4 linked regions of the Arabidopsis thaliana genome follow. The protein of the gene in region 2 interacts with the protein of the main gene of each other region in a pairwise test. Each region holds a gene or a part of one and is shown on either strand. Other genes may lie near its edges.

What was found.
Region 1: the proteins of RCAR1 (region 2) and AT2G26800 interact in binary tests that used the Arabidopsis thaliana proteins (3 or more experiments, as listed by UniProt).
Region 3: the proteins of RCAR1 (region 2) and LSU1 interact in binary tests that used the Arabidopsis thaliana proteins (3 or more experiments, as listed by UniProt).
Region 4: the proteins of RCAR1 (region 2) and AT5G51440 interact in binary tests that used the Arabidopsis thaliana proteins (3 or more experiments, as listed by UniProt).

Annotation. Positions count from the first base shown.
Region 1 is NC_003071.7:11,426,967-11,436,765, forward strand, and holds AT2G26800 (Aldolase superfamily protein), read right to left. Parts: upstream 5,832-9,799; 5' UTR 5,602-5,831; intron 5,595-5,601; exon of another isoform or gene 5,348-5,594; 5' UTR 5,325-5,347; coding exon 5,056-5,324; exon of another isoform or gene 4,995-5,055; coding exon of another isoform or gene 4,966-4,994; coding exon 4,758-4,965; intron 4,569-4,757; coding exon 4,389-4,568; intron 3,834-4,388; coding exon 3,753-3,833; intron 3,666-3,752; coding exon 3,502-3,665; intron 3,056-3,501; coding exon 2,919-3,055; coding exon of another isoform or gene 2,890-2,918; exon of another isoform or gene 2,675-2,889; coding exon 2,559-2,674; intron 2,478-2,558; coding exon 2,226-2,477; 3' UTR 2,053-2,225; downstream 1-2,052. Other genes in the region: AT2G26790 (Pentatricopeptide repeat (PPR) superfamily protein), read right to left, coding at 1-703; AT2G26810 (Putative methyltransferase family protein), read right to left, coding at 6,934-7,078, 7,177-7,288, 7,467-7,568, 7,649-7,706, 7,788-7,861, 8,208-8,327, 8,841-8,908, 9,021-9,112. UniProt on the Arabidopsis thaliana protein: Involved in the catabolism of branched amino acids such as leucine.
Region 2 is NC_003070.9:139,129-146,237, reverse strand, and holds RCAR1 (regulatory component of ABA receptor 1), read right to left. Parts: upstream 4,369-7,109; 5' UTR 4,101-4,368; coding exon 3,957-4,100; intron 3,815-3,956; coding exon 3,599-3,814; intron 3,528-3,598; coding exon 3,324-3,527; 3' UTR 2,977-3,323; downstream 1-2,976. Other genes in the region: HTR12 (Histone superfamily protein), read right to left, coding at 838-893, 1,031-1,106, 1,234-1,311, 1,679-1,791, 1,887-1,923, 2,011-2,045, 2,129-2,174, 2,261-2,304 and 1 more; AT1G01355 (Putative endonuclease or glycosyl hydrolase), read right to left, coding at 6,670-6,750, 6,893-7,035. UniProt on the Arabidopsis thaliana protein: Receptor for abscisic acid (ABA) required for ABA-mediated responses such as stomatal closure and germination inhibition.
Region 3 is NC_003074.8:18,373,444-18,379,884, forward strand, and holds LSU1 (response to low sulfur 1), read right to left. Parts: upstream 2,498-6,441; 5' UTR 2,277-2,497; coding exon 1,992-2,276; 3' UTR 1,790-1,991; downstream 1-1,789. Other genes in the region: ATG13 (Autophagy-related protein 13), read left to right, coding at 4,449-5,818, 5,882-6,049, 6,343-6,441.
Region 4 is NC_003076.8:20,886,828-20,894,140, reverse strand, and holds AT5G51440 (HSP20-like chaperones superfamily protein), read right to left. Parts: upstream 2,979-7,313; 5' UTR 2,900-2,978; coding exon 2,695-2,899; intron 2,556-2,694; coding exon 2,128-2,555; 3' UTR 1,725-2,127; downstream 1-1,724. Other genes in the region: RIN3 (RPM1 interacting protein 3), read right to left, coding at 270-347, 741-977; EYE (conserved oligomeric Golgi complex component-related / COG complex component-like protein), read left to right, coding at 3,346-3,630, 3,738-3,827, 3,917-4,036, 4,116-4,217, 4,313-4,593, 4,731-4,876, 5,283-5,481, 5,627-6,299 and 2 more.

The sequences.
Region 1 (9,799 bases), on a different chromosome or scaffold from region 2:
CTTCTTCTAAATTACCTTTCCTACACAACGCCTTAACCACAATAGCATACGTGTACTCATTTGCACACAACCCTAACTGCTTAAGTTGCTTAAACAAAGTCATCAGCATACCAATTTTCCCAAACTCAGTCATACGATTCATCAAGAAATTACACGCCTTTATATCGACAACACAATCCAACCGTTTACTCTGAAACAAAACATCGGTAGCTTCGTCGAACATACCAAGACTAACATAAGCTTTAACCAAAGCACCAGAGACTCGAATCAAAACAAATGATCGTTTCTTTTCCTCAGCTTGTTCACCAATAACTTCAATCAAATCCATTACAGTGAAACCACGCTCCTCGTTCTTAATTAGTTCAACTAAAACAGAATCTAACTTGATGTCCAAACCCCAAGTAGTAAGAATTCTGACAAGAGTTGCGTAAGCATTGACATTAGGGGACACACCATGTTCCTTAAGCTGTCGCAAAAACGACAAAGCGAGATTTGGGTCATCTCTGGTACTATTCAGGAGTCGCTGAAGACCATGTTGAGTAAGCTTGGAGAGATTAAGATGATTCACCTGCTGCTGCTCAGAGTCTGAGAGATTATTAGGATTGTTGAGAGCAGAGACGGCGTAGAAACGCGAAGAGGTGGCTGCTCTTCGTCGAGTCAATCGCAATTGTGAGAGTAAGAAGAAGGTTGGAGAAAACCGCATCAAAAATGGCGGATTTGATTGACAGAGTAATCGAAGAAGATGAGAGAATCTTTAAACCCTAAACCCATAACATTGGTCAGAACACTCCGATCCATTTAAATTAGCTAGTAAGTCTAAAATTGGTTTATGGATTTTTTCCATTAGTTCCAAATGTATTTAATTGCCAATCAAATTGAAGAAATAAATATTTGATATTTCATTTGCCCAAAAAAAAAAAATATATATATATATATTTGATATTTCTTTGATCCTTTGTTTTGTAGAAATTGAATTATCATGTAACCATTAAAAAAAATAAAATAAAAATAGATCTTTTGCATATGTTTTTTTTTTGGAACATTTGAGATATTATTAATTAGACGACAGAGTTATCACATTGTAAAACCTCTCTAATAGAGCTTGGTACATAGAAATGGAAGATTGAAAGCACATTGTCTTGTAGACTTTGTTTTGATAGGATGTCAGCACGTTTGTTTGACTCTCTTCTGATCCATTCAAATTGTAACTCTTTGAACCTTTGTGTCAATAACTGAATTTCTCGCAACCAATCTCAAAGTTCGTTGTCTTCTTTGTAAGAAGGTCATTCAGTTGTCGACAGTCACTTTCAAATACAACCTGTTGTATCCAATAGTTTTGCATAGCCAATATGAGAGCCTTGAACTCACTTTCTAACGCACTAGACGCATCTTATCCAATGTTATGTTCTGAGCTCAAGTAATTTCCATTACTATCTCTGATGATCCAACTGGCTTTAATCTCATCGAGTTACACTTCACCCAGCCACAGCTTGGTTTTTGCCTCCGAGATTGTCTATTTCATTACCCTCATCGAGATCTTTAACATATGTTATTATTCAAATTTTTAGAAACTAACATAAATTATTCAATCCACAAAGAAATTATTTTGTTGAAATTTGAAAAATGAGTAGGAAGCATGACTTTAATAAAGTTGGGTGGTAGTTCATTTGTTATAAAAATGACGAAAAAGAATACCAAATTGGTAGCGAAAATAAACAACATAACAAAACTAAATCATAAAACTAGTAATTTAATATTCTGGTAAACTGATTGTAGATCCGCGAAGATAGTGAAAACATTGTCCAAATGAAATAGATGGAAAAGGAGTTTATTGATTTTGATCTTGTTGTTGGACACGTCGTTTTTGTAAAATTCGTGCTTGTTCAGTCTCAAAATATACCATAACATTTGTTTTTTAAAGGAATTCCAATTACAAAATATTTTTTTTCTTTTTCTTTAGCTCATTCAAAGCATAATTTTATATGTATATATACATAATGAGTGTAATGTAAATAATATTATATTTTATGGAAACTTTGCAAAACTATAATATGTGGGGTCAAATTGTAAATTAGATAAATAAAATGTATTAGTATATAAAATAGAAATAGAATATTTTTTAAGAATATTCTTTTTAGAGTAGAAAATAGAGGGATAAATTGTAGAGAGTAACTCTATTTTCGAGTAAGATATAGAGCTATACATTGGAGATGGTCTAATAAAACTCATATCTTGGAGGCATCAGCTGTGATACGACGGTTGAGGGCAACGGCAGCCTTCGAACCATTGGGACGACCGAGATGCTTGCTGATGAAATCTCCAGCAGCTATAAGCTTTCCCAAGTCGACATTGGTGTGGACGCCTAAACCGTTCAACATGTAAACCACATCTTCTGTGGCTACATTTCCTGAAGCTCCTTTTGCATATGGGCAGCCGCCTAATCCGGCAATTGATGAGTCTACTATGCTTATTCCCATCTGTTTTTGCACCAATACATGTCAAACCATAAATGAAGTTATATTTATAATCAAATATTCTTCTATTAGTGCTTGACTTACCTGGAGAGACACCAATATGTTTGCAAGAGCTTGCCCATAGGTATCATGGAAGTGAACAGCCAGCTTGTCCGCTGGCACAACTGCCATCACGGCTTCAAGCATTGGAACCACAGAACCTGATTTGTTCAATTCACCAAACAGAGGGACTTGATTAATGAGAGACTCAACTCTCAACGAAAATGCGCATAAATCCAGCCCTCCCTATCTACTCTCTAACCAACTAACAACCGCTTTATTCATCTACATTCAGTCTAATAGATAATAACAGAGCTGCTAAATGTCTTCAGAGTTTATCACTCCCACATACAGTGCACATGCGTAATTGAATAAACTACACAAGATTTTCAGTAACGAAATTACCAGGAGTGCCGATTCCAATTGTATCACCCAGAGAAATCTCAAAGCAGCCCATGTCATAGAGTTCTTTCACAACATAAGCCACTTTTGAGGGTAGAACAGGTCCCTCTACTGGACACCCCACAACGCAAGATACATACCTTCAATATTGGGAAATAATCATAGACTGTTATTAGAACCAACTGTTTCTTCTATTAGTGTTTTGTTAGGGTCGGAGATTGGAAAAAAGGTTAATTCTATTCTACCACAAAAAAAAACACTCAATGGGTCCATAATATGATGCACTAAACCAGAACTGAACTACTTGAAGAAGCTTGATAGTAAATGAAGTTCGGACTAGAAAAACTGTACATGATCCAAAATCCATATTGTTACACGTACATTAAACACACAACTGAGATAAACACAACATAGGATTTTGGATCCATGCACAGTTTAATGTGTAAAATTATGATTTCCTCCAGCACAGAGGAACGAAAACTTGATTAGGTAAATAGTTACATTATATTCCCGCACCATTCTTGATAGATGCCATCTAGGAGGAACACATAGTGTACACAAGTAAGAAAAATTAGAAGAAACATACCCACGGACTGGAACCGAATGCTCCTTTGCAGCAGTGGCAACAACACGATATCTCAAGAGACTCTCTTCGATGGTACAGTTAATATTTGACAAGGAGAATGACTCAGAAGCCGATGCAAAGATTGCAACTTCCTTTGCACCTGCAGATACAGCCGCTTGAAAGCCCTAAAAAGAAGCAAGCACCCCATGTTAGTGTTCAACACCAAGAAACCAAGAATTGTTGGAGAGCCTTAAGAAATATATGATACAGACTTTTAGATTCGGTGTCAGAACCGGTAATCGAGCCCCATCTAAAGTATTTACTGCATCCATTACATCCTTTGCATCTGCAAGCTACAAGGCGAAATAGTATAAATGTCTGTTCAGTCAGATTAGTTTTACATAAGCATCCACTACAGATATTGTTTCTATACTCTAAATGCTACCATACTTCCTCTACTTGGAAAATGGTTTTCCCCATTATTTTACCTATCAAAAGCAATTTGAATATCTTGTAGCAATAACCATTGATTGTAACCAATAGAAATTCCCAGAAATGGATGCTTGGTGCTCAGTTTGAATTTAGGCACACGCAAGACCGTAAGATGTGTGATAAGACACTGTTTGCCAGTTTTATTTTTTTCAACACAGGTTCCTAAGTACACTACTGGTGAGATGCAAATCCCAACAAAACAAACTAAGAAATATATTGTTGCATCTTGAAAAACTATTTAGTTGCAGCTAACTCTACGAAGGGTTCCATTTTTATGAGAAATTTCTAAAAGTCTATCTACAATATAATATAGTCATTTCTTCAAAGTGGTCGCTTTATATGCTTAATTATACAATACACCAAACAGGAAAGTTCAGGAAAGATATAATTTATATACACCAGCATAACAGCATTACCTGGGGAACCCACTTTGGTGATACAAAACTTGTAGCCTCGACAACAGGCAATCCAGAAGAAACTAATCTCTGAATTAGTTCCACCTTTACAGATGTGGGTACTATATTTTTCTCATTCTGCAGGCCATCTCTTGGACCAACTTCTACAATCTTCACAAACTTTGGTATACCTTTAGAGATCTAAATTCCAAACAGAAAAAAAACAGAATAAGAGAGAAAAAAAAATGGTGGTTGTAGTGGGAAATTTTAAACAGAAATGAAAAAGATGAATCATTATACAAAACTATCCTACATAGACGGGGAACGAGGTATCTGTGGATATGTTTTATATAGAGGTCAAAAACTACTTTCCTCCATCGAGACAATTACCTTATTACTTATATGCGACGTGCCATTCTCATTGCTAAATGTGCTATACTTCTGCTCCTTAAAACTTTTGGATTCCCTTAAAGTCCCAGAAACAGTAGAAGTCCTTCCAGCAAACGAAATATTCCTAAACATATGCTCTCCTTCAGATAATTTCCGAGTATGCCTTCTCCACGGGAATGACTCTTTAGCAAAGCTTTTATCATCATCACTGTAAGTTAACATACATTTCAAGAGCATAAGAAACAAAAAGTTGTCATATGAAAGGAAAACAAAGATTGATATATATTTTCAAACTCACATGCAACTGTTAGAGGTAGTGCAATCTCTTCCTTCAATCCAACGGTGTCCCATACCGACATCATCCCTGGGGCGACAAGCACCGGAAGAAAATCTCTGAATCCTATCCATAGTGCTCATACTTGGCAACTTGTCAAAGCTTAGCGGCTCCTCCAAACTCGACATGGTGAAAAAATGTGAGACTGGAATAGAAGGATGATGCAAATGAGTGTTGTTTGTTAATCTCTTGCACCATATAGAATGGGCTCGTCTCACCCCATTCCATTGCATTTTTCAGCAATAGTTTGAGTTCTCTGGAGAAAATGGTCAGGTCCATTGCTCAAAAAATATGTTCAAATATACCACAAATTATCATTCAAATTCCAAAATCGATTCTCTACTAATTATCCGGAAAATCAATAAATTCAACATGAATTTCACAAAATTAGGAAAAATGTTCTCCGATTAGAACAGAATCGTGCTGCAAAAATCATCGCTCTTTGTGATCAGCCCTAACATTCTATTGAATTCGATCAGCGTAAGAGATAACGAAGAGTCTGAAATTTACCGTGATTAATTCCTCCGGAGGTTTAATTCCGATGAAGAATCTCAGGCAATGAGATTCGTCGTTTTTCCGGTGACGTGAAGAAGACGGAGAATGAAGAAGGGACGCGTCAAGTTTATCTCCACTAATTCTGGTTGGGAGGGGTCCTTTTGGAGTTGGAAGATGACCAACATTTAATTTAGACCTCAATCAATTTATAACATGTTTTTTTTCTTTCCTTCTTTACTGATTGGACAACAAATTTTTAATTGAGTAAACTGTATAGTGTAACTTAAGTTATTATATGGTGGAAATTTATTTGAATAAAATTGACCCTAACCAAGTGGTGTGTGGTAGTCCTTGTTTTAAATAAATAATATTGGTTTAAACTTTAAATACTAAAATGAGTAAAAAAAAAAGCCTATATTTCTTGTTACGAAAAAATAGATCGTGTATTTTTTTGTGGGAATAGAAATTATGTGGTGTATTTTTATTAAATACTTTCCCCAAAAATAAATAACATGGTTATTTTATTTTATGATATTAAACGATTTGTTAAAACATTAGTAAAATATATCTTTTACGTACTTACGATATTACTATAGTAGTAAAACTTTGCAAACTTAAGTCCCAATATCTTTTTTTTTCGAATATCAACTAAAGTCCCAATATCTTCAGTCTGCACCTACCTAAATGACACTTTCAGATAAAATAAGACTGAAAAATAATGTAAGAGATAAATAAAATAAGACTGAAAATAATATGGAAGATACAATAAGACTGAAAATAATATGGAAGATAAAAAAGACTGAAAATGACAAAGAAGATAAAATAAGACTGAAAATACTGTAGAATATAAAACAAGACTGAAAAATAATAGGGAAAATAAAATAAGACTGAAAAATGATTTAGAATATAAAATAAGAATGAAAATACCGACAAAAGAAAAATAAGAATGAAAATAATATAGAAGATATAATAAGACTGAAAAATAATGTAAAAGATAAAAAAAAAAAACTGAAAAATAATATAGAAGATAAAATAAGACTGAAAAATATTTACTTTTAAAGTCACGCAGGATAAAGATGATCCATTGATGTGGAAAACAAAAAGAATGATATACATGAAAACTGATAAGTAGGTGAAGTCAAGAAATTGGACATGACAACTATCATAAAGGAGATATGATAGTTGCAACAGTTTTTCAGCTAACAATGTGGATTCACTTCAAAGCATCCACAAATGTCATTGTATACTTTTTGAACTGTAACTTTAGTAAACGTTTCACCAAAAATGTATGCATCTAAATAACATAAAAATAATGTTACAAAATTCTGAGGTATCAAAGGAACTAAGTTACTCGAACACAATTCCTCTCTTCTTTTGAAGTGTGATTTCATATATGACCCCTTCCAAGTTTCCTACGGTACACCGAGTCCCAGAAACTTCATTCATCAGCATCCCGTGCTGAGCGCCTTCTCTCAAGATTGCAGAATCCATCCTGAAATAACGTTTCAGATAGTTTATTCTCTGACTCGTATGAAACTTGCAGTTATACTTATATGAGAAAAATGCAAAAGTTTTAGCTGACAAACTTACTGTCTAGCCCGTGATACGTATGCTAGTATGAATTTGCAGTTTCCTTGTCCCCTGATCCGCAGAAGCTGCTCAACACTGTCAAATAGCAATGGCACACTTGATTGCTGAAAGCTTACGTAATGTCAAGGTTTTCTTTTTCATTCCGGTGTAAATTATAGGAGTGCCCATGACGGTTTAACTGATGAAAACTGAACAGAAGATCCGGACCAAAACTTCAACTACGGATAAAACTAAGATCAACCACTGTCCTAGCGGATAGATAAAGAATTCGTTAACGAACATAAGGATATAGATATCAGCTCCAAGAATAAGATCAAAGCCATCATTGTGTTTCTTTAAAATTTGACCAAGCTGATCACTATTTCCCCATTCAAGCTTTGCAGCCTCTAATTCTGTAGGTAGAAATGAGAAACAGAACACATCAATAATATGAACAATGAGAGTCAATAGCTTAGTTGATTTTCTTTCTCACCAGCTGAGGGTTTGGGACCACTTGAATGTCCATGAAGGTCAATGTTTTTCTTCAGTATCTGAAAAGTTCATTTAAAAGACCTCATTATATTCTACCAATGTTGAATTCCCATATCAAATCTTCAGTAACGTAATCTTGCCTTGAGCACTTCATCGTTGTGGTCAGTAAAAATAACTTTACGGCAAAATTTGCTACATAGGACTCCAGTTATACCTGTGTTATAAAAGATTACAGATCAGTTTTACACAGGAACGAAAACCGGAAAAAAATAAAAACAGTATGTTCTCAAAGACAAAAGAAAGAGCACAAATATAAGAGTTTATACATGTGAATGATGGTGAAGTCAGCCAAGCAGAGTATGCAAAGACCATATTTGTATATACAGCATATCTAACAGGGAGTGATGATGTTACAATACATAACATCTCTAACTGAAATTTGAAGACGCATGCACAAGTAGTGATTAGCCATTACATACTAGGATAAACAAGATACATACAGAGTGTGAGAGTGGTCCAATCGAAATGGAAAATGGTAGGGGGAAATAAACAGCACTTACCAACGCCAGATCCCAACTCCAAAACTGAACATCCCTGGAGAATGTCAGCATTTTCTGAGAGATAACCATTCATAAGCATCGCACCAGGCCAAACCAGCTGCCCTGTTAAATCAAAATCAGCTGTCCAAGAAACATTTTAGACATAGCTTTATGATAAACACTACAAGGGTTTAGATAAAAAAAAAAATATATCTCTGAACTCATTGTTCTTATTTAGTCTTTCAATGGCATTAGAAGTTAAAAGAATACACCAGCCTAGAATACAGATAAGTAACTCCAGATTGACTATTTCAAGAGCATATAAACAGTTCATAGTCAAAAATAATTGATGAAGAAATTCACAAAAAGGGTATCTGAATCTCATATTTAGTCTTCCAATGGCAATAAAAGTTCAAAGAATACACCAGCCTAGAATATAGCTCAGTGACACAAGATTGACTAATGATAACTATATGAAGATTCGAAGAGTATAGAAACAACAAAAGTTCTCCATGGCCAATAAAATCTTTGTTAATCAGCTTACTTATAACACAAACCTCAAAACTTAACCAATAAAGTTTGCTCCTTTATTATCTAAAGAACAAAAATACAATGCAACATTGATACAAAAATCAAAATAAAGATGAAACTCACTTGAAGCTGATTGGAGACAGTAGAGCTCAAGAACATGAGAACCAAACGTAAACTTCGTCAACTGATAACTGCATCCGACAAAGACAAAACAAACATGTATATTGAGAAAACCAAAAGCAGACACTTGATCTAAGTTTAAAAACCAAATAAAACAAACATTTGTTTGTGTAACAAAATTACTCATCGTTGATGAAGAAAGACTCCAAGCAGACTATCTCTTCTTCTTCTTCTTCAACAATTGCTTCTCTACCTTTATCACTTTCACTGCCCATCTTTGACTACAGTATACAGTCAGAATCAGATATTTCAGATCCCAAGCTTCGAAGTGTGTTCCAACAAATCAAATTCGAAAATAACAACACATCAGCTAAGGGAATCGACGAAGAAAGGTATTGATTGACAAATACCTCCTCTTTGTTACTTTGTTAGAGAATTGCGCTTGTTGATGACTACAGCTGCGGCGGTTCCGTCGGAACTGTGAAAAGTAATTAGATTTTTAGAGCAGACCAAACCCATGTTTTTTCGGTTATCTGATATTAACCGGTTTGAGAGAAAAATACACTAAAATACAGCAAAAAACTATATAAATTAATGTTCGATTAATTAATAAATTTTATAAATTAATAAAAAATTTCGGTCCGATCCATGTAAAAATTGACACAAATTGATAAAATAATAAGATAATATTTTTTTTGAAAATTCTATGTAAAATCTCATTAATATCATAAATTAATAATTGTATAAACTTATCAATATATATATACATATATCATTTATATATAATATGAATATAAAATATTATTCTATATATCATATATGTACACACCAAATTATTCTATAGTAATTTAGGTATGTAAAATATTATATTTAAAATAATTTAGTGAAATATAACTCTAATATTTTTTATTTTTTAAAAATTTGTATTAATTTTTGGTTGAATTTATTTTTAACGTTTTTAC
Region 2 (7,109 bases):
TGGGACCATTGTGTTGCATGATTCATGGGCGCATCCAACTTTTGCCATCCTCGTTTCTGTTTAGTTTTTTCGGTCTGCATTCAATTTTTACGAATGTACAGAGAGAGATCATAAAGGATGTAAAAAACAAAACAAAAGAGACTATAGAGAACCCAAGAAAAAGAGGCAACTTAAAAGAGTTGACAATGAAATAAATATCACCAAATTCGAAATTCGAGCTTTTCGAAAATTTATAGTGTTTTTTTTAGTGACAACACTATGATATCACAAATGTTTTATGCGAATTATCACTAAAAATCAATATGAATTATTTAAATTTGAAGTGCTAAGGATATCTCAACCTTTTTAATATGCCTTGACAAGTTGTAATTGGGAATCCACTCGTCACTCGTCTGAGAGATATTTCTACTAAAGCCCTCCCAAAACACATGTTCTTTCAAATCTTCCTCTTACTTTTTTTTTCTTCTTTCAATCACAACCCTTTCTAACTGAGGCTTCAAATTATATATACATGAACCTTTGGAAGTTAGAACTTAACGAAAGAAACGTTTTTGTCAAGTGGAATCTCAATGGAAAACAATCAGATCCAACGAAAAGCAGATAGAAACACACATAGAGAAAGAAGTTTTACAGCCTAGATATTGGAATCAAACCAAATTCGGGTTTCCAGTTATGTTTCAAAAGAAGGTTTTGGTCAGATCATTTAGTAAAATAAAAGGACATGCATCACCAAGAGACAAGGAGAGAATAACCTTATACAACCTACGACACACTTGTTGTTAACTATTCGATCCTCACTTACAATGTAAGAGATGTGAATAGTGAGTGAGTTTTCTATCACCATGGTCTGCCTTTTCCTCCAAGCCGGCGTGCAAGTTCAAAGTCTTTTCTCACTGATATGAACAAAAAACAGATATAGATAAGCATTTTATATATGATATTCAAGTAACTAATGATTCAAAGGGATATAAAATGTATGCTTGTGATTCCTAAGTTGAGACTGAAAAATGTCTTCTTTTAGAGTACTTACTTAGAGTAACACGTCTTGCATGGATAGCACAGAGCATTGAATCTGAGAACAAACCAACCAAGTAATCTTCTGCCGCCTACCACAAAGAATTTGTGTGATTAGGTTGATTGGTCATCAAGGGGAATGACATTAGTTGAAATGTGTGACTATCTCTATATCTATATTCATACATTCGTATAAAGAAAAAGTTGAAGGATTGGTACCTCTTGAAGAGCAACAAGAGCTTCAGCTGTCCAACGATTGATTTGGGGAGGGGCCAACATATGGGTTATACTTCTCACCTGGAAAAACAATGTAAAATAGTTTGTTTGTAACACAAATCAGCATTTCCACATCACTGACGATTCATGTTGAGTTTTGTAGCTACAGGAATCATATGGTTCTGAATCTATGAGCTCATAACCTCAAAGACAAACTAGATTACACACTCCTTAAACAAGGAGGGTTGGCCTCACGATTACTCTGAATTTTAGTTAAATTGCTATATCACTCACTATGTACACTGCATTGATGCTCAGATATGTGTGGGGTGTGCAAATCCTAAAACTAGCCACATTAAACACCAAAAGGCTTGTGCCTCTGTTAGTATATATGAATATTGTTAAGCTGTGAAACTTATTATGGCTGGTAAGAAAAAGAGTAACTAACTTCTCTTATGAAACTGGCAGCCGGAATAAGAAGGTTTGTCTGCTTCTGGAAATGGCGAATCTCTTTTAGAGCAACGGTTCCTGGCCTGTATCGATAAGACTTCTTCTGTGAGCCTACAAGGACAACACCGAAGATTAGTTTTAAACACACTAAGTGTCCTGTATTCTCAGGGATATCACAAGAGATTGGTTTTTTTTTTAAAACAAACCTCGTGGCATAGCCTGTCTGGATCTCTTAGCCCCTCTCTTGACAAACCAAAACGAGAATTTTGTCAGCTTAATAACGAAATCAAAGTTGAAGCAGTTCATAAGCAATGGTCACAAAAATCTTACCCTTGTACCAGTAGCTGGTGAAGTTGTAGGATTTGCTGCAGATGTTACAAAAGAATAACTTCACAAACAAAAGAGATGAAAAGAGGGAAAAAAAAGACTTCAAATATAAAAAACTCACTTTGTTGAGTATTATCTCCACCTTCACCGCCTCTCCTTGTCGGGGTCTTCAATTTCGATAGATAAACAAATTTGATCATAACGATAAAAGGAAGAAACATTGGAAACCCTAAGACGGAAAAAGATGCCGTACCGTAGTTGGACCTGCCGCCTGAGAAGATGAAGCACCGGCGGCATCTACAAATTTCAGATTCGAAATCTAGGGTTAACAAAATCGAAATAAAAAACCTAAAATTCTGGGTAAAATCAGAAGTAAAAATTGAAAGAGAAAGCAGATTTAAGATACCAGTTTGATTCCGAGGTTGTGACCTGGTAACGCGATGCTTGGTTCTCGCCATTGATTTTTACTGCTGGAGAAATCGCACCATGAGAGAGAGAGAGGAATCGTAAAATCGGAAAAGAGAATCGACGAAAACTGCGATTATGAAAGTCACCTGCTGAGAAATTTCCCGCTAGATACGAAAAGATTAGAAGATTGGAGCGGAACTTTTACTTTCCCGCTCGACACTCAAATTTTGATTTTAAAATCGAATCTGCTTCACAATTTGTTTCAGTCAAGAGTCTCTCTGAACAACTTATTACAATTTGCACTAAACCTGTGGCTTCACATAGAGGGTTCGACTCGATTGTTAGCCTTCTTTAGTTCCTGTTTTACCCCTGGTCTGTATACAATATTACATTCAAATATGTACCTGTTTGTTTAGATGAAAATTGGAAACAGAGGGGAATAGGTTTTGTGTGTTTTACCGTTAAACCTCAATTCAAAATCTTTGTCTCTCTCTCTCTCTCCCAATTTATGCTCATCTTTTCAAGTTAATGAAATTGACACAGTTTTTCAACTTTCTGCCTCAGATTCTTTACAAGTTCTCAGCATCCAATCATAGGTTCTGTTCAATAGAGAAGTGGAATCTGAAGTCTACAGAAACATCTTTTGTGAACTATATATTATACATCATAAACCATTCACATTTACATTGTTTACAAAAATATCTACAAATAACAAACCACCAGGAGATATCTTACATCAAAACTTCACCATTGGGACAATATGTACATCTTTTTAGACTGGTCATTACCGAGGATAGATATCTATATATATATCTAGGCCAAACCAAAAAAATCCTGAAGAATATTGATTATATCACAAACTGGAATTGATACTTCACTTCAATGCCCTTGTTCATTGATTATGTAGTTCACTGAGTAATGTCCTGAGAAGCCAATCTTTCAGAAACATCTGCTAGTGACTTGAGATTACATCTGATAAGTGCTTCAACAAAGTAGCAAGTCTCATCCTTTGTGTTACCTTGAGGAACATCAACTACAAACGATTCAATCACCATCGTTCCTGCTCTTCCCTCGATTATCTCCGGATGAACCGTCAAAATCGACGAGTAATTCTGCAAACAAACAATCAATGAGAATCTGCATATAAACAAACATCAATGAGATTTGATTTCTCTCGCTGTACCTTAAGTCTGTGATCACCACCGATGATTTTGATACCGAGGATGTGTTCTTCATCATCAAGAAGTTCTAATCTCTCAGTAGATGTTGTTGCAGGAAGACCAGATTTAACATTGACTTCTCTAAGACTGCCGATTTCAGGATCACCGATTACTGTACATCTGCTCACAAACGGTTTGTATTTCTGCGGCTGATCAAATCTCCGTACAAGTGACCAAACCTAAAAAAAATCAATTATAATCAATCGTTAAACAGAGATTTGGGGGAAAAAACCCTAAATCGATGGTTGGGATCAAAATTGACGGATCATGGAGAAAATGGTACGAAAAGGGTGAAATTAGTGGTAGATTGGAGAAGCTTACGAGATGAAGAGGAGCTTTGATGTGTTTGACAAGAGCAGAGGTACACTGGTTTTCTCTGCACAGATGTTGATGATGCGTCCGTACGTATTGCACCGTCTCGAGACCACCGTACATCGCCGTGCCGCCTTCAACGCCGTCCATCATATCTCTCTCTCTCTCTCTCTCTTTCGTTCTTCGTTGTTATCTCACAAGGGAGAATCTCTGGAAATGGATAATAAATACAAGGAAGAAGAAGAAGATGCTTCGTTATGCCAAAACAAAATTACTTGTTTATGTTTTTTGGTTTCTTTTAATGAACCCACCGACATAATAACTTTTTACTTTTGTACCTAAACTCTTTTTTATAGCTTCCTTCTTCTCCTTCACACATTTTCAGCTTTTCAAACCAAACAAAAACACAACAAGATACTAATTTTTTAATGTAACAAAAAAACAAAATATTTAAGCAAGTTTTATTGTATGACGTTTTGGGGACCTATATAATCCGAACAAAACAAAACAGATTGCTTAGATAATTATTTGTTTTGATTAGGTAAGATCGTTTCAAACTTTATAGATAGTTTTGTTAATTTAAATTCAATTTTAGACCATATTCATTATAATAGCTAATTTTTTAGACACAAAATGTCGTTAATATACCAGAAATTTATAAATGAGTGATTCTCCATGTATCAGGTCTCATATGTCTTAGACCACATCTTATTAGATATAGCTCTCGTTGCCTTTAAACCTTGTTGTTAAACATTAATTAATTGTATCAAGCTAAATGTCTAACACCATATCCTATCTGCAAAGTGACTGTTCCATGTAGTCATGTACGACACGTAAGGTGTAATTTCTCTTCTAGGAGGAGAAGGCATTTCTACAAGAAGATTGGTACAAGGCATCCACAATCTAAAATCATGAAACAAGAACTTTAATCTGTTTGAGACAAAGTCCTTAATTATATCATACCGAATGTAGACAAACTAGTTTTTGTTAAATTGTATTTGTTGTGAATCACACCTCATACGAAGGAAAGATGAGATACCACAAAGAATCTACAATAAATCATCATTCGATTCATCTCCACTAGTCTAAAGTTGCCCCTCCTCCATCTTCTTCGTGAAACTCAAGCTTTCGAAACATATGGTGGAAGTCACTTTTGATAACCACCGCCGCTAATTACGCTTTCTAACCAGTAATATTAATGGATTACTATATAATTAGTGAATTCTATTTCTTTCTTTTTTGAATTCTACTTTTGTTTTTCCCAAAGGAGAAAAGACTCACCTTTACTTGGTTTTCTCAAACAAAAACAACATAATCACTTTTTAGATAAATCTAGTTAAATGATTACTTATCTAATTATCTTCTAACATATGTATTAATTATGGTTTAAGGTTTTCATAACGAACAATCTTCCGATTTTGTAACCATTTTAAACAACACATATAATTGTAACCGGAGGTTTTCTTGTTCAATATGAATATGGTTTATGCTTACATATCTCATTAATTGTCTGAAATTGACGTTATGATAAAATAGGGATTTAGTTTATATATAACATTTTCTGCAATCATATTTTTTAAAAAATGTTAAGTGATAATATAGTACTTAAAAGAGCGGTAATTGACGATAATTACAGTAACCTTATCAGATAAAAATTTACCCAAAACAAAGCTTATCGGATAGGATCACCTTTGGCACTAGCTAGGCATGCGAACTTAAACGCAAAAGACGACTTTGGCGTAAATTATTAACTGCTTCAAGATAAAAACAAGGAGCCTTTTTAGTGACAGCGACAATGAGCTAAATACGGTTAAATAATAGGAAACCAATATACGTGTCATATTTTCATTGGTTTATTGTCTGTCATTTTCATGTTCACGTATTATGTCGTTTCTCGTGAACTTGACACGTGTAATTCTTCTTTTTGTTCATTTGGATAACTTTTTTGCCGGCCAATAGGTTCCGAATCTTTTCGAATTAACCAATACCACAAAAAAAACAGACGGAAGTGAAAGAAAAAAAGACAACATTAACGACATTCTTCTGATAATGCTGGCAGTAAAAAGTTATGAATTTATCGTTTCATTCATTTGTCCTGGTTTAATCTAACTTTGACTGTTTCAACAAATTTAACAAAAGGAAAAAGCTTCAAATTTAGATGAACCAAAGAAGGCCCAATCTTTAAAGACCATCACAATATGGGCAAACGAATACAAGCAAAAACAGCTTCGGCTTATAGTTTACTAGAACTGAGAAAGAAGAAAGTATTTGCAACCATTGTTTCTGGTGGGCTTTGCGAAATCTAAAGGTCTGAAAACACACACAAAACCATTGGGTTCTGTTGAATCTGATTTTACATTTTTAAGTATTAGCCAGCTTGTTATGCTCTTTGTAGTTATTTTAAGCTGAGATATGACCAGTTTCTAGTTGCATCTCTAGCATATGTATCTGGAACTCTAACACAATTCAAACAAGTCATCATTTTCTCACCAGTTGCTTTTGTTGTTGCAGTTCATTGGGACAAAATCTCCAAAAAAGCAAATTCGTTGGAGAAATCAGTAACATTAACTCACACAACTCTTACTACTACTCATAGCTTAAGATAACACCATTATTATCAGTTAACACACAAAGAAAACCAGAGTTTACGAGGATTTAGAAGATGTTGAACATAAAAAGGATTAGATAGCTTAAGATAACATTAACACACACACAACTCTTACTACTCTTCTTCGTCGTCTTCAGAGTCTCGTACGTAGTCGTCTCCATCGGTTTCATCATCTTCGTTACGGTAGTATTGAGACTGCTCATTGACAAAACAAAATATGGGGTCAAATTTAGGCAAAACATAACTGGAAGAATTAAGTGAGAAAGGGAAACTCGCGGTAAGAGGTTGTTGACTCAAATGGACACAACAAGTCTGCGTTTTTGGCTAGGATGCTTACTTCATGTGCATGTTCTTCACTCTTGAGATGCGTGGAGAAGTTTTCAAAGCCTTGGACAGTAAATCTGCATTGCTCACAAAGCAAGGCAGGTTCACCCATCTCGCCGCACTTGTCCTCCTGAGGTGCCCCTGAATCCATATCATCTGCGTCCGTGGAGATAACTAGGTCAGACACAGCTTAACTATTTCAACACTGTACTGAGTGTGAGAGAGAGAGA
Region 3 (6,441 bases), on a different chromosome or scaffold from region 2:
TAATAGGTTTAAAATGTTTTTTGGGGGCTGTTTTATTACATTAATCTAGAAAATGCAACATCAGTACATACATATCCATGCATGATAGTATAAGTATATCTGGCCTATTGTAGATATGTATCCTATATCCCAAATTTGACACATTTAAGAGAAAATCTCATATTCTATCAAAATTTTCATATAATTTGCTCATAGTGATTAGGCAAAAATCTTATAGTTATATTCCTTAATAGCTTATTAAGATGTCAAATTTCTTTTATCATCATCACCATAATTATTAGATACACAAAAAATTAGAAAATCATATTAAGACGTTAATTAGTATTATGCGAATTAGTTGAATATTAGGAATCGGTGAACGTCGTGGAGATACATATGGGTGACGTCACCAATCACGTCGATGTAATTGTCATATCCCATTTCTTCGTGCCTCCAGTGGACCACTTCTACTTATCCCAAGTCAATGGCCGTCGCACCAATGAAACACGTAACGATTATTCCTACTAATTCATTATTCTTGAATCCACCAATATTAGTCATTAAACCCATTAATCTAGGCCAAAGTCTAAGCTATCTCTATTTCCTAAATTGTTCATGGAACTATAGTTAATTAATTACAGTTTGGTCACCCGATATCAAAAGAATTATAGCTTTGTAAACAGTCAAATTCGATAGTCGATATCGTAGACAAATGATTCCAATAATGGTAGATCCTTCTTTTCAAGAGATATCAAAATCAGGGATAAAGTAGCATAAGAAAAAAGCCAAAGAAGAAAAAAAAATCATGAATAATCGTTTGCCCAATTATTACAAAATGCCAAAAAAAGCTGCGACATGAACAAATTCGGAGCGTGGGATGATCACATTTTAGACCATACAATTTGATTGAGTTCCTATACTGTCCAGGTTCAATGTATCTGCTTTCTTGTCCGGTTTAGTCTTCCAAAATTACATACTGGCTCACTTCGGTTTAATTTATTCTAATTTGGTTCAACTTTGTTTAGAATGAAAAAAACACACACACACACATCTTTCTTGAAACAATTGAAGTTTCAATTCATTTTTGGCAGGCATGGTTTACTCCGGTACCGTTGTTGATTAAATAAGAAATGGTAATAATTTTAAATCTACGCATGGCATATTCTCATCGTCAACGGATACTATCTCAAATTTATTATGATCAAAACAGTTAATTAACAGCAAAACAAACAAAATCACGTCAAAATCGAATGTCAATATTCCTCTTAATTTGCCAGCACCACATATCTTCATACTATTTTAAATGATTTTTTTTTATATTAACAAAATAAATATATAATTAAATGAAATAGAAACAGAAAATGACCCTTGAACCAATGGAAAACTTACACAATTTCATGTTTCACGTCCCCTAAAGACTATTGTTATGGTTCCATAGAAAAATCATTGAACCATTCTCTCCTACGGTTTCCATTGACCACAAAAAAAAAATCCTGAAGTTGTGGAAAATTTCCATGAAACTCATGTACCCAAAAACCCTTTATTTTTTTCTACACTCAAGTTTCAATTAACTCTTCTACGATTCCTTTGAAAATTATGGTAATGTAGGATTTCATGGAATTTAAACTTCAAAGTTCTTCGATCCCCTTCGAGTCTCCAATACCTACTAGTTCCATAAAATTATTTTGATAGTTAAGATTGACATTAGATCTCACTCATATATTATTACTTCATTACTTAAACATGGTATCATTCCAAAATATTATTTGCTTCCATAAGAACTTTTGTAATTAAAAGTCAAGACAAAATATGCAACTAGTACCAGAAATACTAATTCATTAGAAATGGAGTTCAACAATTTGTATGATTATCAGAAATTCTAATTTATTCACTAGAAATGGATTCAAACATTTAATTTATGTTGAAAACATAACATATTACCATCGATCTATATACATGTATAGTGATTGTCACATACACAACTATACATAACTTATGAGAAATATCTTATTCTACGAGGAAGAGACGACAGAAGAAGAAGAGAGACGAGAGATTTGATCCATGAGGAAGAGCATGCGATCGTGATAGTCACGTGCCTGTTCTAAAGACTCGACCTCCAGCTCCGCCAGCTGCGAGCAGAGTTGCTCTTCCGCCTCCTCCGCCACAACCGTTCGCTGCCACAACTTAATCATTTCTGTCTTCATCTCCGCCACTTCTCTCGAGAGCTCTATGTTCCTCCTCCTTAGCTCATCCATCTCTTCCGCCGCCACCGTCACGCATCCTCCTCGGTTCGCCATTAAGATTCTTTGTGTAAAAGGATTTGATTGTGGTTCTAACTTTGTTTCTTGATTTGTTGAGTGTTAGGGTTTGATTATGTTTCTTTAATAGGCGCTTTGTGTAGCTTTTGCATGTCCAGGTTCAATGTATCTGCTTCTTGATTTTTATTTCTCCTCACTTTTGATTTCGGTCAATATTTTCTCCTTACTTGAAACTTAAACATACTCATGGCTTATGTATGCATAGACCACCCCAAAAGAGAAAATTTACTATTTTTTTCGAATGTTCAATTTTTTTTTTTCGTTTTTTTATCACAGTTTCGCTAGGTTCGATTTAAATATTTTTTATATGAAACTTAAACCAAATTAATTTCGAAATTTCCGGTTTATCCATGTTATTAACTAGTTTTAACTTTAAAATTAATAAACAAATTGCCGTCTATACAACTATAAATTGATAAATGGATAAATATATGTTAACGTGTAAATAGAATAGTAATTAATAATTCTAATGCCGTGGTTTACACAAATTCAATTTAATTATTTATAAATCTCTGGTCCGTCAAATTTGTAATAAAAATGTGTTGGTCTGATCTCTGATGTATGTATGTGGTATATATTGATTACATTATTGAGTTAGTAGGGCTTGAAATAGGTGACGTCTGAAGCCAATCACTATAGTGTTTCTCACTTTCTTGTGATATTGTGAGTTTGTGACAAGGATTTATTCTTTAGATTATTAACTAACAAGTTAATAATTTGGGAAAACGCTGCCGCTTAATATTGCGTTACTTATATTATGATTGAAGAACTATTATGGGATATTTCACGACATCATACATCTACAACCACTATAAAATAGAAAATTAGTGTACTATCACCAAAAATATATTTCTCCTGTTCCATGAAATTTGATGTTTTAGATTTTTTTTTGTTCCATAAAAATTGATTTCTTAGGTTAATATTATTATTATTTTTATTAATGACTAATAGAGAGAGGAAAGAAGTAGAAATTATATTATTAAATTAACAAAAAAATAATATAAATAACATAAAAGTTAATTTTCTTAATTTGGGTGAAAAACCCAAAACATCATTCTTTTAGGAACATAGAGAATATATAATAGACATTTACAACTTATACATTTGTTGATAACATGCAGTATGTTAGTTTGAATACATATTTTTCACAACAGTAATAATAACAGTTGTTAGAAGACTAAACTACATTGTAAGAATCGCTTTCTCTTGTAATGATACAATATAACATATAACATTTAAAATAAAATAAAAATCTGTAGGTTTTAAAATGTTAGCTACGTAGTCCATAACTTCAAAAAACCAATGGTTTTGAACTCATTCCATAGTGATGATTGCAAATACATATTATCTGGTTTACAAAAAAAAAAAAAAAGTGTTCCAATTATCTAGAAATGTTGGGCCTAATGCTTAAACAGTAAGCCCATATACTTAAACATCCGACTTGGCGCATTTGCTTCACCTTCTCTACCAAAAAAGCGCGTGAGATTCAGGTTCACTGTATACATTAAGAGCCTATTGTCTTGTCTCCTGTAAAACCAGAAGAAAACAAAAATTCAACAAAGGATAACAAGGACGTGGCTATTCTTCATTGGCTGCATTCACAAGAGTCGAATATTAATTAGTAATTTCACAGTATAGTACATTAAGATTAACGAGACCTATTGTCTCCTGTAATTGAGGCAACAAGATAAGGGTAAAACGAGAAAAACAAAAGAGAACAAAGACGTGGCTATTTATCATTGGTTGAATTCAATATTAATTTAATTAGTAATTTCACAGTGTTCTCAAATCGTGATCGTGTGTGTTTCTTCTACCTCTGAAACTCTTTTTGTTTATGTTGATCATCATCATCGTCATCTGCGTGTAAAACACACTCACGCCATCGTTGACGTCTCAGATCTTCACATAAAAGCTTCTATTATCAAACTCTCTTCCTCACGGTAACCCTAACTATCTGTAATTTATCTCTCTACACTTTCTTCATCTCTTAATCACCTTAATCATCTTAAGCTTTGTATTTCTAGATCCTTCTCCCAAAACAACGATTCGTGATCTCCGTTCTCATAGATCAGTTTCGGATTTGGATATTTCTTAGGGATTTGTGTGAGATATTTTTAGAATTGTTTCGATTTAGGGATTTGTGTGAAGAAGATGGATTTTCCAGAGAATTTGCCTTCAGATATAGGAAGATTAGAGCAGATTGTTTCTCATTTCTTCCCAAAAGCATTACACATAGTTCTTAATTCCAGAATCCCTTCGTTGCAATCTCGTGGTCGTACTCGTGAGCGTTTATCAGGTCTTAACGTTAGAAAAAGTGACAAATGGTTTAATCTTGTGATGGGAGATCGTCCTGCTGCGTTGGAGAAATTGCATTCTTGGCATAGGAATATTCTGGATTCTATGATTATTGATATCATTCTTGTCCATCCGATTTCAAACGATAATTTGGATGATGATGATGATCATAGTGATTCTGTTGTTAGATCAGCTGAGACTGTGATTGAGCGTTGGGTTGTTCAATATGAGAATCCTTTGATTATGTCTCCTCAGAGTTCTGACTCTGCAACGCGTTACCAGAAGGTTTACAAGAAATCTATCATTCTGTTGCGGTCTCTTTATGCACAGACTCGGCTTCTTCCTGCTTATCGTGTCTCTAGGCAGCTGAGTTCTTCTCTTGCTTCTTCTGGTTATGATTTGATTTACAAGGTTTCATCTTTCAGTGACATATTCTCTGGTCCTGTGACGGAAACAATGAAAGAGTTTCGTTTTGCTCCTGTTGAAGTGCCTCCTGGTCGTCTTTGTGCATCGGTTACTTACCGTTCTGACTTATCTGATTTTAATCTCGGTGCTCATATCACATTGCCTCCGAGGATTATAACTGATTATGTGGGAAGTCCTGCAACAGATCCTATGAGGTTTTTCCCTTCTCCAGGGAGAAGTGTTGAAGGCCATTCCTTTACTGGTAGAGCTGGTCGGCCTCCATTGACTGGTTCATCTGCAGAACGTCCGCATAGCTGGACTAGCGGCTTTCACAGACCTCCAGCTCAATTCGCAACACCGAACCAATCTTTTTCGCCAGCTCAGTCTCATCAGTTGTCACCTGGGTTACACGATTTCCACTGGTCACGTACAGATGCTTTTGGTGACAATCACCAGCTTTCACCTCCCTTTTCACCATCGGGTTCTCCATCTACTCCAAGATACATATCTGGGGGTAACAGTCCGCGCATTAATGTGAGACCAGGGACTGCTCCAGTGACCATTCCTTCTTCAGCCACGTTAAATAGATACGTTTCATCTAACTTCTCTGAGCCAGGTAGGAATCCACTTCCTCCTTTTTCCCCCAAAAGCACAAGACGCTCCCCTTCATCGCAGGACTCTTTGCCTGGGATTGCGTTGTACAGGAGTTCTAGAAGCGGAGAGTCTCCTTCTGGATTAATGAACCAGTACCCTACTCAAAAGGTTATGCTTCTTACATCTTATGTGTCTTGCTCAATGCAAGAAAAATATCACTATATTTTGTATTGCCTCATCTGATATTTTGTTGATTTATTTATATCTACTCTTCAGCTGTCAAAGGACAGCAAATACGATTCAGGCCGCTTCTCAGGAGTTCTGTCTTCGAGTGACTCACCAAGATTCGCGTTTTCTAGGAGCCCCAGTAGATTATCTTCCCAAGACGACTTGGATGACCCTGATTGTTCATGCCCTTTTGATTTCGATGATGTTGATGAGTCAGGACTTCAGTACAGGTTGGCTTTATCCCACTACCTAACTTGAATCATTCAAAGGAAATATTATATACTTGGATTAGTTTACAGAAATCTTTACACATAGAGCTGGTCAATGACAAGATGCCATGAAGAAAACACTAATGTGTTGGCTGTTTTGTTTAATGTGAAATTGTTGGCATTCACACTCTATACTTGGCCTTTCTCTTACTGTTTCTTTATCATTTTTTGGTCTGTCAAGTTCACTTCTTCTTGGGTTTTTTAGTCTTTGGTAGTAAGAAAATGACAGATATTTTGCAATTTTTTCGATGCAGCCATAGTCTTGACCGGAGGAAAACTTCAAGCTCTATATCGCAGTCGCTACCTCTAGGGAGAAGATCATCACAGGACGCAGCGGTTGGTGTTCTGGTTCA
Region 4 (7,313 bases), on a different chromosome or scaffold from region 2:
ATTAACATGAAAATGGCACACATCTGCAAATAACTTAATTTTATGCAAACAGATCAGATATCCAATCGAATAATGTGGTAGAAATATATGCTCATGTACCATTAATGCTTGTCATTTTAAGTAGGATTTCGTCTTCATCCTTTTTTGCAATATATTCAGTAAAGGAGATAATAGAATATCCCAGATATCATAAAACTATATAAGTGACAGAAATTGTGGGTTGGTTTCCGTTGCACCCTACTGTCTTTCATCAAAGTACAAAAAACTACCTTGTAAATGATGTAATTGGCAAGCCTTTCCACCAGTTTTCTAGTTTCAATGGCATATAGATCTCCAAAAAACAGAGTCTGCAGGGAATATTAAGAGTTATCAGATCCTCACACAATGATTGAAAGACATTTCCCAAAACAGCTAGTCTATTATTACCCTACAAGTATGTGCAGACCCTTAAGGCAACAAATAGCATGGTATTTGGTTTCACGGAAGCCTTATAACTATCGAAAACCAAGAGTTTTTAAATCCTTCAGGTCAGAAATACTTGGTTCTTACACCACAACTCTTAACCCGCAGGTGCAAACTTATAATTCATGTATTTTCTAATAGCCAAACTACGAGCTTTACATTGAATTCCATCTAAAGGAAAGAACCATTCAAAAGATGTATATCTATTCTACGTAAGAATAAAGCTAGCCGACGAATATTGCTTAAACTTAACCTCGGAAGTAAAAGACCACTCTTACCTTGAGAGAAAGAACAAGAAGAATGTAGATATTGAGAACAAAACTTGCCAGCAATGCAATTGTAGTGTGAGAACTCAGAAGAAGCTCAAGGGTATTCTCAGAATTCCCTAAAGAAATGTTCTTGGTGATTATCCCATCAGCTCTAAGTCTATCAAGAGACAACTCCGTCCAGACTTGTAAACCCACAAAGCTCAAAGCTGTTGTTGCCACGGAAATGTGCAAATATGTTATCCCCATTAGAAACTATTATAGCCTTCTCACTCCGAATTAACCCACAGATTCTCATTTAGCATGACGTCCCCTGCATCAACATGATTTTGCATAAGCTAAGCAAACCAAAAGCTTATGTAAGTTAGAGAATTGAGTTAAAAAGTTTCAATTTTTTTATAACGTAGGCCAATCGAAGCAAGTAAAATTCAAAACCATGATCACGAAGTTCATAGGATACTGCAATTGAGAGAGATATGTATTAAATAAGTAAAATTGAAGAAACTGGGAAATTCAATTAACCAAAGGAGAGAGATGAGCTGAAAGATTGAGGTCAATAGAAGAAAATATGAAGATAATGGTGGATTCTGCAGAGAGCGAAATGGATCAAAACCTGAGTTCGCGATTGGAAAATTCTCCTCAGCACCGGCAATTGCGTCCTCTTTTTGTCTCTCTTTCTCGATGGACAAGGAAAAATGAAGAATATAAAATGCGGAAGAAAAAAACTCAAAATAATAAACCATGCGGTAAATAAAAAGTTACTTAAATTTGACGATGCCGACACGAACGAGTTCTATGGTCACCGAAGTGGTTCCAAAGAAGTAAAGCTATAAAGAGCGCGCTTTGCCAAACAGAGGTGAAAAAAAAACGGTAGCAAAATTCTCTAATAGTCTTGTCCCACAACCTTCTTCTGGTTGCTGAGACCTATATCAACATTTCCAGCACATTCAAAATCAGTTACTTGGTATCAATTTGATGTATCATCCCCTTATAAAACCGAGTTTGAACATCGAGAATGAGCATCGAATGTATCGTTGATCATGGCTCTGTCCAGCATGTTTGATAACACCACCATAGTCCATAGGTATAATGATAGAAAATCGTCCTAGCAGACTCTTTTTCTCCATAAATAATATCCAAATAACTTCAACTATATCATAGTTGCTACGATATTCATATCCAGAATCCGATATCAAGAATTTGGGAAACAAAATCCGAACCTATGATATGAAAGTAGTCAAACGTACATAGATCATTGATGTAACGAAAAAAGTCAAAATCCCGAACACATAGGACCGTGGGAAATGTCATTCTCCTTGATTCACCAAAGGACACCTTAAAGTTCACAAATTCACTCACTTACTTCCATTCCATCTCAAACAATCCAAAATAAAACACTCTAGTCAACGTTTATGTGACGAATATTGTTACGCTCATCCTCTTTAATCTTTGGAATCACCACTTTCAACACACCATTCTTCATTTCCGCCTTAATCTCATCAGTCTTGTATACTTTCTCCGGTAACTCAATCCTACTCGTAAACCTCCGTCCATCTCCAGAAACATCTTCTCCCTCCTCTGTTTCCCCTTCTCCTCTAATCACCAATGTGTTCTGTTCCAAAGCCAATTTCACATCCTCTCTGCTTAGTCCCGGCATATCTATCCTTAGATGCAACGCGTCGTCTTTCTCTTTCACGTTCCAACCACGTCTAACTCCAGAAGCTCCCATTCCACGAGTAGCTGATACCAAAGGGATTTCGCTTACCTGGTCCATGAAATTCAGCATCTGGCTCAAGCTTCTCGTTGGAGTAAACGGATCGAGTATATCTGTTTGAAAAAACAACCAAATTTTCAGATTCAACAGATCTCCAAAACAAAGTTAGATGTACTCTATACATAAATCACTAAACATGTATCAAATTGGGAAAATCTATAGCGAAATTGGACGGAGGAACCATGGATTTACGTGAGAAGAAATCGCCGCCGTGGCGAGAAACATGTCGGTTTGAGTGATGGTTCCTATCGACACCGTCTTCATAGTTTCTGGCGGCGTTGGTATTGAAGAGGCGAGATGAAGCAGCCACCGGACGAACGGCTCTTAAGGCGCGAGGGACGGCGACGGTGGAAGAAGAGAGAAGTCTCCTGAGAGCTAAAGCCGATGATGACGCCATTTTTGGAAAGAGAAGAAGCTTAGAATTAGCAAGTGATTAATTATTTTCAAGCTCGATGAGATATTTTTTATACTCTTTGAACGAAAAAAAAGCTGTTAGAGAAAGGTTTATATAGAACAGAGAGTAGAAGAAGCTGCTAGAGGCTAGAGAGTCGCTTAAGGATGGTTCTAGAACTGCGTGGTCTCCAAGTAAAATAAAGAAAAATAAAGAAAAAGAAAGAAGAAAACTTTTTCCGTGACGGCCCATCACTTTGGGGCCCAGATTTGTAAATTTATCTTCCGTTTACTTTGGTTTGGTTTTAAAGTCGAATTTGAAAGTCGGTTTAGATCGATTTGGTTTAGTTTCTTCTTCAGTGTATCTGCGAAATCAGAGGATCTTCTTCTCTTCAACATCATCATCGTCGAAGCTGAAGAGAATCTAAGGTAAATCGGGTGATCGGATCAAGGATGATGCTGGATCTAGGTCCATTCTCAGATGAGAAGTTCGATGCGAAGCGATGGGTTAACTCGTCGTGCCAGGCGCGTCACCCACAGGATTCACTCGAGAAACATCTTGTGGATCTGGAAATGAAGCTTCAGATTGCCTCCGAGGAGATCGGAGCTTCTCTTGAAGAGCAGAGCGGTGGTGCTCTCCTCCGTGTTCCTCGTGCCACACGAGACGTGTTGCGTCTCCGTGATGATGCTGTGTCTCTGCGTGGTTCTGTTGCTGGAATCCTCCAGAAGCTCAAGAAGGTACGCATTTGTGCTGATTCCTGAGATTTTGTTTGGATCTCTTCTCGAAAATTAGATTATATCAAATTCCTGAAACTTGTGCTCTTATCGAATTCGGTACTCTGCAGGCAGAGGGTTCTTCAGCAGATTGTATAGCTGCGCTTGCTAGAGTGGACAATGTCAAACAGAGAATGGAGGCTGCCTACAAAACACTACAGGTTAGTATTCATAGTGATTTTGTGATCCATTATGTGGACACTTGGGGGTAGATCTGCAATTGATTCTCTTCTTTTTGGTATATGTACAGGATGCTGCAGGGTTAACTCAGTTAAGCTCGACGGTTGAGGATGTATTTGCTAGTGGCGATCTTCCTCGTGCTGCAGAAACTCTTGCTAGCATGCGAAATTGCCTGTCTGCTGTTGGAGAGGTAGTTTTATGTCAGCTTCAGTACTCTGAGGATTTAAGTCTTTTTCCGTCACCACTTAAAGTCCAATTTTTGTCAACAGGTTGCAGAATTTGCTAATGTGAGAAAGCAACTAGAGGTATTGGAAGATAGGCTGGAGGCGATGGTGCAGCCACGTCTTACTGATGCATTAACATATCACAAGGTTGGAACCTGTATATCTAGAGAACCCAACTACTTTAGGTTGTAATGTCTCTGTTGCCATTATTGGACTGAAAAGCCTTTCCCCAAATTTGGCAGGTTGATGTCGCCCAAGATTTGCGAGTAATTCTCATCCGGATTGGGAGATTCAAGTCTCTGGAGTTGCAATATTCAAAAGTCCGTCTAAAGCCGATTAAACAACTCTGGGAAGATTTTGACACAAAGCAAAGGGCAAACAAGCTTGCCAATGAGAGAAGTGAAAGTCAAAGGTTGTCTAGCGGCGATGAGTTTCAGTCGACATCATCTCAGACATCATTTGCCAGTTGGCTGACAAGCTTTTACGACGAGTTGCTACTCTATCTTGAGCAAGAGTGGAAATGGTAAATGTTTTACTTTTATTTACAGTAAACTGTATATATTTTCCGGGCCCTTCCAGTGACAGTATGTCAGATCTTTAGGTGATTGCAGCTTTAAGTATCAATCACTGTTGTACGTTTTTGCTTTCATGATTGTTTAGGTGTATGGTTGCCTTCCCTGATGACTACATGACTCTCGTCCCAAAGCTGTTGGTTGAGACCATGGGAGTACTGGGGGCTAGTTTTGTTTCTCGTCTTAACCTTGCAACTGGAGATGCTGTTCCTGAAACAAAAGCACTCGCCAAAGGTTAGATATGATGTCAGTACAGTTTGATTATTAGGTTTCCTTCTTAGTCTAGTCTTTTTACCCAGCTGAATTGGGATTGCGTTGCTTCTTTAGTGGTTCTACTCTACCATCCTCATGTTTGGGTAGATAGATGTAAGAAGAGTATCACTTTTTTCTGCCTTTACATGAGCTAAAGTTTTTGGCTGTTCTTGTTAAGTTTGTAATTTTTGTGCATAGTGGCCGATGTCATGAATCTGTCAATATGCAAGAGAGACTTGCAGGAAGTTTGAACAACAACTTATTTGTTACATTTTTCATTTAGTCACTGGAAATTTTCCAGACAATGCACGATTATCTTCAATTGACTTATATCTGTATTTTGTGTATTTAGGAGAATACTGACAATTCTGATGTTTTCCTTGAACAGGTGTGATGGATCTATTATCTGGAGACTTGCCCAAGGGTATTAATATTCAGACCAAGCATCTTGAGGCTCTGATTGAACTGCACAACGTAACTGGTTCCTTTGCAAGAAATATTCAGCACCTGTTTGCGGAATCTGAACTTAGGATCTTAATAGATACGCTGAAGGCCGTGTACTCACCCTTTGAATCGTTTAAGCAAAAGTAAGTTTTCATGTTGTGTACTTCTCTTCCCCCATGTCTTGTATCCATTTCTAGTATTTATGGATTGTCCCATTTTTTTGATGAAACTTTTTTGGGTCGTGGTTCTTCAAGGCTGTTTGTGACATAAGGTTTGATCATGCTTTAGGTATGGGAAGATGGAACGTGCTATTTTATCCTCTGAGATTGCAGTGGTGGATCTGAGAGGGGCTGTTACTCGTGGTGTTGGGGCTCAAGGAATTGAACTCAGTGAAACAGTGCGTAGGATGGAAGAGTCTATTCCCCAAGTTGTTGTTCTTCTTGAAGCTGCAGTTGAAAGGTGTATTGGCTTTACTGGAGGGTCAGAGGCAGACGAGCTGATACTTGCATTAGATGACATAATGTTGCAGTATATCTCTATGCTTCAAGAAACACTCAAATCTTTGAGAGTTGTGTGTGGAGTGGATGGTACAGGTGATGGAGTTGGCTCAAAGAAAGATGCAAGTGCAGAGAAAAGGGAGAGCTCTCGCAAGATGGATTTGACTTCAAATGAGGAATGGTCCATTGTTCAAGGAGCACTTCAAATTCTTACTGTAGCTGATTGTCTCACGAGCAGGTCTTCTGTCTTTGAAGCCTCTTTGAGAGCAACTCTAGCTAGACTAAACTCCAGCTTGTCTATTTCATTATTTGGCACAAATTTGGATCACAACCTATCACATTTGAAAAGTGAACAAACTGCTGGAGATTTGTCTATGGCTGGACGAGCTTCCATGGATGTGGCAGCTATTCGGTTGGTTGATGTTCCGGAGAAGGCTCACAAACTATTAAACCTATTGGAGCAGGTAGTGAAAACCTGTAGGCTTGATTTACAAAGTTTCTGAATTAACTATTTGATATTTCATGCGTATCGATTCCCTTTTCCCTTTGATTTTTTGCAGTCCAAAGATCCACGATTCCACGCACTGCCTTTGGCGTCTCAGAGAGTTGCTGCATTTGCCGACACAGTCAATGAACTTGTCTATGACGTCCTTATATCAAAAGTCAGGCAACGTCTAGGGGAAGTATCTCGCCTACCAATCTGGTCTTCCGTCGAGGAACAAACTGCTTTTCCTCTACCAAATTTCAGCTCATACCCGCAGTCTTATGTTACAAGTGTTGGAGAATATCTCCTTACTTTGCCGCAGCAGCTTGAGCCTCTAGCTGAAGGCATCTCAACCAACGGCGATTCAAACAACGAGGATGCACAATTCTTTGCAACCGAATGGATGTTCAAGGTAAGTCTAATTTAAGCTTTTGTCAAACCGAATCGCAATAAGCTAAGACCTTAACCACTAAGTGTTTTTTTTTTAATAAAACAACAGGTAGCAGAAGGAGCAACCGCTCTGTACATGGACCAATTGAGAGGAATCCAATACATTTCAGACCGAGGAGCACAACAACTCTCTGTAGATATTGAGTACTTGAGCAATGTGCTTTCGGCTCTGTCCATGCCAATTCCGCCAGTTCTTGCAACTTTTCAGACGTGTTTGGCTACACCGAGAGGTGAGCTCAAAGATGTGATGAAATCAGAAGCTGGTAATGAACTCGACTGCCCTACAGCTAATCTTGTTTGTAAGATGCGTCGTATCAGTTTCGATTAGTCTCAAATCTACTTGGGTTTCGATAAGACTTTGCTAACAAATCGGCTCGTCCATTGTCATATTGTATTACAGCATTGTCTAATGTTTTAGTTACGTAGTTTTTTCGTGTTTTTTATTGTTTAGAAAATAGTTTGTTACTTAAATAAAATGTACTCGTGACAAGCCGTTTTAGTTAAGACCAAATCATAGATGAAATGGCTTCCACTAACATTGCGT